2 linked regions of the Coturnix japonica genome follow. The protein of the gene in region 1 binds, or shares a complex with, the protein of each later gene. Links are inferred from orthologs where the notes say so. Each region holds a gene or a part of one and is shown in the gene's direction. Other genes may lie near its edges.

Region 1 (3,655 bases):
TAGCTTGAATGCAAAAAGGATTTCCTTTTTCATGAGTAGCTTTCTGGATTTTCTTAACTAGATCTTGTATTCAGACGTTTGTGTACTTCTGCAATGTGTGTTTTCTCAAGCCTGGGGATAAGCTCAGGTGCTGCTGTACCTTCCTTTCTGAAGGAGAAGGCTGATTTATTTTTTTACTTCTTTTTTTTTGTGTTTGGATGACCAGTAGCAACTTGTCCTCTACCTTATTTCTCTGAAATCTCTGCTGTATAAGGAAGCAGAGAACGTAGATAACGTAAGCTTCACTGATAGCAGAGTGAACTTTAATTCCATTAAAAGGTAGCAAAGCAACATGAGAATTTGTGTAACAACTGGAAGGGATGTGCTGCAAGTCAGTTGATCCAAATATGAAAAGCTATGGGTAGAGGAAATATCAATTCATGATGTTTGGAGAGTGTTGGTTTCTTGAACTAATGCTGATGTCAAGAAGTGTTATGTAATTATACCTACCTTGAAACTGTAGCTCATGAGGATAGACTGCATGCCAGTACCTGATATCATCTACCATTTGTGTGGCTGCTGATTAATTAATCAAATGACCAAAATTGCACTAGAACCTTGGATGTGTGATAGGTCATGAAACACTGAAATGTGTTAGGAAGAAGGTTCTTACTCTCTGCTTTCACATTAGTGTTTGCTGCATTAAAAACAGCAGTGTTTGATTCAGCACTTGATTCAGTATAGAGCCATTTACTAGCTTATGCCTGGCCATTATGTACATAAACCACTTCTAAGTTCAGATGTCGTTTTCTTAGAATAAAGAGGTAAGTAATGAAATACTGTGCAAATGGCTTTATTCTTCAACTTTTCCTTGAGTGTAGTGACGTTTAAGAGCTATCTCTGAGCATCAGTCCCCTAGAATGGTGAGTGAAATCCTATCTCTGCCTCCTGAATGTATGGTGGAACCCAGATTGATAGATGTCTCTGCGTTAAGCAAGAACAAAATGATGACATCTCTTAAGTTGTACTTAAATTCTTGAATTATTCTTTTTTAATTAATTGGAATTAACCTTTTATTGGCAGAATTCATGGCGTGTGAATGACTGAAGAATCTAATTTAACTTTAATATTCTTAGTAACTTGATCTTACTTTGCTTAAATATCTTGTGTGTGCAGTGAGGAGCTAGGAGAATTCATGGAGGTGAAAGGTGCCAACAGCCCTGGGATCCTTGTCCTGACCACAGGCCTCAGCAAACCTTTTATGCGTCTGGATAAATACCCCACGTTACTCAAAGAGCTTGAAAGGCACATGGAGGTATATCTTATCAGCATTTATGTTCCAGCTTAATGATGATTTGACATCAGTTATTTTAAAGGTACATGTCAAACATGATGGGACCCCAAATTACCTTTGTTTCCTTTTTCTTCAGCCTTCCAAGATATGGGCTGCAATATTTCAGAAGGTGGTGCAATAAGACTTCCTGAGAAAGCTAAATGTTTACAGTAGAGCTAGACAGAGAAGCCAACCTTCACCCCTAGAAGAGTCTTGCAGACTTGATGTTTGTGTTTTGTTTTTGGGTTTTTTTGGTCTACTGTACACACAACTTGAGGCAACTTTATCTTGTAGGAGTTTTGCTTTTCATGTTAGGATTTCAACCTGTTGGATGCATCATCTTGACTTCTACTGAACACTGTCCAGAAATGATCTTTCCACCGTGGGAAGATGTTTGAAGATCAACTGTCTCTGCATTTTCATCTTATAGGCTAGATTTCTTAGCTGTGAAGGAGAAAGAGAACTAGAAACTGTACTCTGAGTCACATGGTTTGTCAGTCAATGACAGCCTGACATTTTGTATCTAGGGAGTGTGATGTATTTACAATGAAAGACAACAAGCCAAATAAAACCCTTAAAAATATGCACTTTGTATTAGGAGTTCAAGTTGGTAAGCAATTTTATGTGTCCAGAAGGACATGTAAAATTTCCTTGACACTTTTTTAAGCAAAAGAGTCAACTACAACATTCCTATTTCACTTTTACCAAGAGGAAGACCACCAGTATGTTGAATTGGAAGGTTATGGAAAGAGAACAGATAGGTCTAACAGCTTTTATTTTATTGGATTGTTGATTTGCTTTTAGTTAAGCCTCTAAGCATTTTTATTATTATTTTTACTAAAACTGATTTTTTTTACTATGTTTTTTTTCCCTTGCTTTTAGGATTACCATCCAGATCGTCCAGATATTCAAAAATCCATGACAGCCTTCAAAAACCTTTCTGTAAGAGGAATGAAAAATAGATCATGTATATTTTCAGCATCATGTTTTCTGGTTTAATCCCTGTTGGTTTTAAAATGTGAAACTTTTTTGTACACACCTGTATAAGAAAATTTGCTGAAAGTTCTGGGACTCTGGAGATTAATGTAGTTTGTGGGCAGGGCTAAGAACTGCACCTTGTTGGGGAGTTACAGCAAATAGGCTCTTATTTGTGCTTCATTTTCCTTTCTGTTTGCACTTGTGACCTAAAGAAGGGCCACAACATTTGAGTGTATTTCTGAGATTGTACAAAGGTGCATTCATTCTAGGGGAATTGTGCTGGAGCTGGGGGAGAAGTGATAGTGCAGATAGTGCAAATGAGGATGGGAATATGGGATCTTTAAATAATCAAGATAATAAGCCTGTTTTGGACAGATGAGTTGATATTGCTGTTTAAAGGACAATAGATCTTAATTCTGAAGAATACAACTATTAAATTTAAGAAGTACAACTGCAACAGATGTATTTCTTGCATTCTCAATTACAGTAAACTTTTGTGTTTCCTGTTAGCAATGGAGGCACTTCCCGTTTTTTACATTTTAAAGCAGAAATTTTACTGTGGTCTGTGTTCAGAAAAGGCTGGAGGATCTGTGAGTCTGAGCACTTCACAAATGAAAGGAAACACTTCTTGAGGGAAAAGCAAGTGGGATAAGTTGGGAGTACAGTTAGTGAAATAGATTGGCAGGAAGTGTAACAGAAATAGGAGCAGAAGGTTGTGTGTACTCTGTTTGCACAATTGACGAGTCTCTTGTAATTCAAGTATATTTTGCGTGTAGCTATATGTATTCAAGACAGCTGCATTACTTCTTCCTGCTTGGCCTAGATGTTTTTTGTCACAAGTATAAAAATGGAAAGGGTAATTTAAAAAACAAGGATGTGACTACCAATTTCTAATTGAAGTTAGTCTATTAAAGAAAGAAATACTATTAAGTTAGACTAGTTTTATGGGAAATACTGGTAGTAGCAATATATGAAAATGCTGCAAATGTAGGTACTGTCTTCTGTGTACTACAATGACAATGGTAAATATATAGTGGTATTTCTACCCTCAACCTGTTCTGTGTTGGTAGAGTTGATACAAAAGAATATTTTTGCCTCTTATTTGTTAGGCACAATGTCAAGAAGTACGAAAACGGAAAGAACTTGAACTACAAATACTAACAGAAGCAATTCGCTGTTGGGAGGGAGAAGATATTAAAACACTTGGCAATGTGATTTACATGTCCCAGGTCATGATTCAGTGCGCTGGAAGTGAGGTAATGTACTTCTCATCTTTACTGTCAGTCTTCCTTTCTCTTTTTGCAGTTAAATTGATAATAATCATTTTGTAGCAGAAATAGAAATACATTGCTATATTAATCTAGA
Region 2 (3,655 bases), on another chromosome or scaffold:
CTTGGAACATGTCTAGCAGCACTTACTGCTGTCTGTATAGTTACATTTCATATGCACCATTGTCTTAAAATACCTGATATAAGTACACAAAAGATAAAAGGTTATACTTTTGACTGTAAAGTTCTGACAGAAGCAGTGTGCTTCCTGGGACCAGGGGAAAGCTAGGCTATAATTCTTGCAAACTTCACATCCCTAATGATTTGTACATTATGTCGTAGTCATTTATTTTAGGGTGGTTGTAGCATGGTATGAATTGTCTTGGAAACACTTCTTAACAGAAAGGGTAGTTAAACACTGGAATAGGCTCTCCAGGGAGGTGGTTGAGTCACTGTCCCTGGATGTGTTTAAGGGTTGTTTGGATGTGGTGCTCAGAAATATGATTTAGCGGAGGGTTGTTAGAGTTAGGGTACTATGGTTAGACTGCGGTTGGACTTGATGGTCTTTAAGGTCTTTTCCAACCTGAGTGATTCTGTGATTCTATGTGTACCACACCTAGTATAGAACAAAGGTGCATTTGACATTGATATTGAGGTCAGACATACGTGATTCTACTTGATCCCTTATGCCTTGTGGTTTAACTGGTTTTACCTACTATCTATTGTGCATTTATAAGAGGTAATTTTAAAGGCATTGGTCTGAAATTAAACCTGTGTATTTGTTACTTATGGCCTCTGTATTTGACCTGCCAATCCACTAGATTAACAAAATGCTTTAGACATAAAGATGTAGATGCATTTAACTTTGCTCAGTGGAGTATGAATGTACCAGATTAATACATTGCTAGGTGTAACTGAGCAATACAGAATGAATGAAGACAGCTATTTCAAGTGAAGTGCTTGAAAAGTTGAGATGTCATTTATGAATTCGTAGCTCCTCGTCAAAATGTTAATGCTTAGGCCTAAATTCTCTATCAGTATTCAGGACTGAGCTTAGGGGGAAAATCTGTGTGTGTAGTTAATTTGTCTACAATTTTCAAACATTCTGTTTGTTCTGAACATATGCTTACTGTGTGGAGCCAATGCATACAGGCTGTTCTCCAGTCTTAATCAGCTTCCTATCTCATTAGAGAATAGTGGCATTCATGGGAGGAAATAGCTGAGCAACAAAATGCAGAGGGCCTGAAGGCAGGTATATTGAGTTGGGGAATGAAAAGGAGATTTCAGCAGTGGATGTGTGTACATCTGTTTCACCACCTTTACATCAACTGAGGTCTTGAACACCTCAGGGGGTAAATTCTCAGTGTTTGTACAAACATGTTTTTTATAATTAACATGAATGTAAAAATCTTATCTGGCCATAGTTATTACATTCTCATTTCTGTTTTAAAACTTGTCATCCATACACTCTTATTATAGTTCTCCTTTTTGTCTCCTCCTACAAAGGACTAACTCAAATGGCCTTGAAAGCTCTGAAGATGCTGCTCCAAATGAAAACAAAACTGTTAATGGCAGTGATTCTCCACTGCTCACAAATGGAAGCTGCAAACCTTCTCGACCTCCAAGGCCTGCTAGACCGCCTCCACCCACACCCCGCAGACCCGCATCTGTAGCTGGTGCGTATTCTAGGGCCAGACATCCATTTCAAAGCTATTGATGAGCTGCACAGTCTTAAAATGAACACAAAGATTTCCAATGAGTGTTTATAACTACAATTTTTTTCATGGTAAATTCTTGGATAATTCCTATTTTAACAGTTTGCATTCAATATCATTGATTCTCTTATGAGTAATTTCTTGTTTCCACGACTGAGAAGTGATGATTGTAGTGATACTGCTAAATATATTGGAGCCGGTGCCAAAAGAACATGAGTGAGTGCTACTGTTGCATTCAGTTAATTTTAATGAGACCTATGAACATATTTGCTGAAGGACTTACAGAACTGTCTCAAGTAGATAATAGTGGGGTTTGAAAGACTGCTAATTTCTTTCTACTGTTCTGGTTAAATTCTTTGAAACAGCAGCACCTCAAACATTGATTGCACGAAAACAAATAGGTTTTTTTGTCTATCTTATAATTTCAAAACTACAAAACTTTAAGACAGTGGTAGGTGTTTTCAGGTTAACTCCTCCACATGCACACTCTGCCATCTGTTTTGGCGGTCTCATTGTGACAGTTGATAAATACTGAGGCTGGATGGAAAACTTGGCTGCAGTAATTGTTTTAAAAGGTAAAGGCAGTGTAGTTTAGTAATAAGACTGGTGTATAGTTCTTAATACTGCCTACCAAATGGCCTGCATGGGGGAAGAAATCTGAAAGCACTTAAAGAGTATATGTATTCTCCCTTTCACACCCTTCATTTTCCCACATCGTGTCAAATCTCTTCTTCAAAATGTTATGCATGATATCTCAAAAATTATTGCAATAATGGGAAGTCCGTAAATGCAAACAAATGGCTTTTTCTTTATAGTCATCTGGTGTTTACAGAGTGCAGACAAGTTGCTTTGCTAAATAACATAATTTGTAATATCAAAGCTGTGCAGCTGATTGCAGTTCTTGGATTAAAGCAGTTTTAAGAGTGCAACTAAATTGCCTTTTTTTTTCCTTAGTTTTTGTGTGAAGTAGAAAATGTAGCTGTGTGTGCACTTCCAACTACCACCTTTTGCATGCTTACTTGTGGACTTACAAATTCTGCAATAGGTTACCAATAACGAGAGAAATACCAGTTAAAAATTTGGTTTTTTTCTAATCTGCCATAGGAAGTGTAAATGGTTCTCCATCCACGTCCACAGAGAATGATGGGGCCAGTGCAGGTTCACTGGCAGGTGCAACTGCAAATACGTCTTCAGAACCGAGCCCTGAGGGGGCAACAGCAGCAACAACAGCTCCTGCAACTGCTGCACTCACCACACCTCCAGTGTCAAGACAAGTCCAGCCAGTAAATCCTCCAACTCAGGCACTAACCACAGTCAGCCAAGGTCCTCTTCCACCTGGGTATGAGTTTAATGCATTTTTCTGCTTTTTCTGTTTTCTAATTTTAAGCATACAAAAATACAAATAACATCTGTCTTTTCCTGCATAACAAAAATTCCCAAAAGCTTTTAAAATAAAGGTTTTCTAAACTGTTTGACCTAGTGGACCTTCAAGTGGGTGTATATGTGTGTGTGTGTCTGTGTGTGTATATACATATGTGTATATATATAAACATATATATACGCACATATATACACACACATACACACATATATGTATAGTTTAGTCAAGAAAGGAATTCAGTTTGAGTAGTTTAGATGCTCTTTGTAAGCTGCTAAGTCAGTGAAACGGAGGTTTTAAATAGTGAGACAACCTGCTGTCTTCAAATTAGAGTGAAGTCAAGCAGTAAGAAACTGGTTTAAGTAAGTAGAAGGAAAGTTATTGTTGCGGGACGTAATCTGCTATATGTCTCTACGTTTTGGAATTCATACATTGCGTCTCCTGAGAGCATTGTGGGCACCATCTCATACCCATGTGGAATTTGTTACATGATTGGTCTCTTGCTTCGAAGACATGATTTAGGTTCTTAACTTTTTCTTTAAAAGATAGAAATGTTTCCGTACTCTGAGTGAGCGAAAGCAAAAGCTTCCTAATGTGAGTGGTATAGTAGGTGAAGTATTACCTGCTTTAATTTGCCTGCAGTTAAAGCAATAGATAGCTTGGATTACCACACTTACAGGATAACT

What was found. Proteins that work in one complex are often made in the same cells at the same time.
Region 2: the proteins of ARHGEF7 (region 1) and ITCH are in contact, whole or in part, in a crystal structure (PDB 5SXP), measured with the Homo sapiens proteins. The link is inferred for Coturnix japonica from reciprocal best matches to the Homo sapiens genes ARHGEF7 and ITCH. Residues at the interface, in NP_001106983.1 of Homo sapiens: Phe193, Phe195, Thr198, Asp201, Glu202, Arg215, Glu217, Glu218, Gly219, Gly220, Trp221, Glu223, Thr230, Trp232, Pro234, Asn236, Tyr237; in NP_001244066.1 of Homo sapiens: Arg252, Pro253, Pro254, Arg255, Pro256, Arg258, Pro259, Pro260, Pro261, Pro262, Thr263, Pro264, Arg266.

Annotation. Positions count from the first base shown.
Region 1 is NC_029516.1:125,581,269-125,584,923, forward strand, and holds part of ARHGEF7 (rho guanine nucleotide exchange factor 7), read left to right. Parts: intron 1-1,155; coding exon 1,156-1,294; intron 1,295-2,194; coding exon 2,195-2,254; intron 2,255-3,399; coding exon 3,400-3,546; intron 3,547-3,655. UniProt on the Homo sapiens protein: Acts as a RAC1 guanine nucleotide exchange factor (GEF) and can induce membrane ruffling. Functions in cell migration, attachment and cell spreading. Promotes targeting of RAC1 to focal adhesions. May function as a positive regulator of apoptosis.
Region 2 is NC_029535.1:1,347,825-1,351,479, reverse strand, and holds part of ITCH (E3 ubiquitin-protein ligase Itchy homolog), read left to right. Parts: intron 1-1,382; coding exon 1,383-1,552; intron 1,553-2,695; coding exon 2,696-2,930; intron 2,931-3,655. UniProt on the Homo sapiens protein: Acts as an Acts as an E3 ubiquitin-protein ligase which accepts ubiquitin from an E2 ubiquitin-conjugating enzyme in the form of a thioester and then directly transfers the ubiquitin to targeted substrates.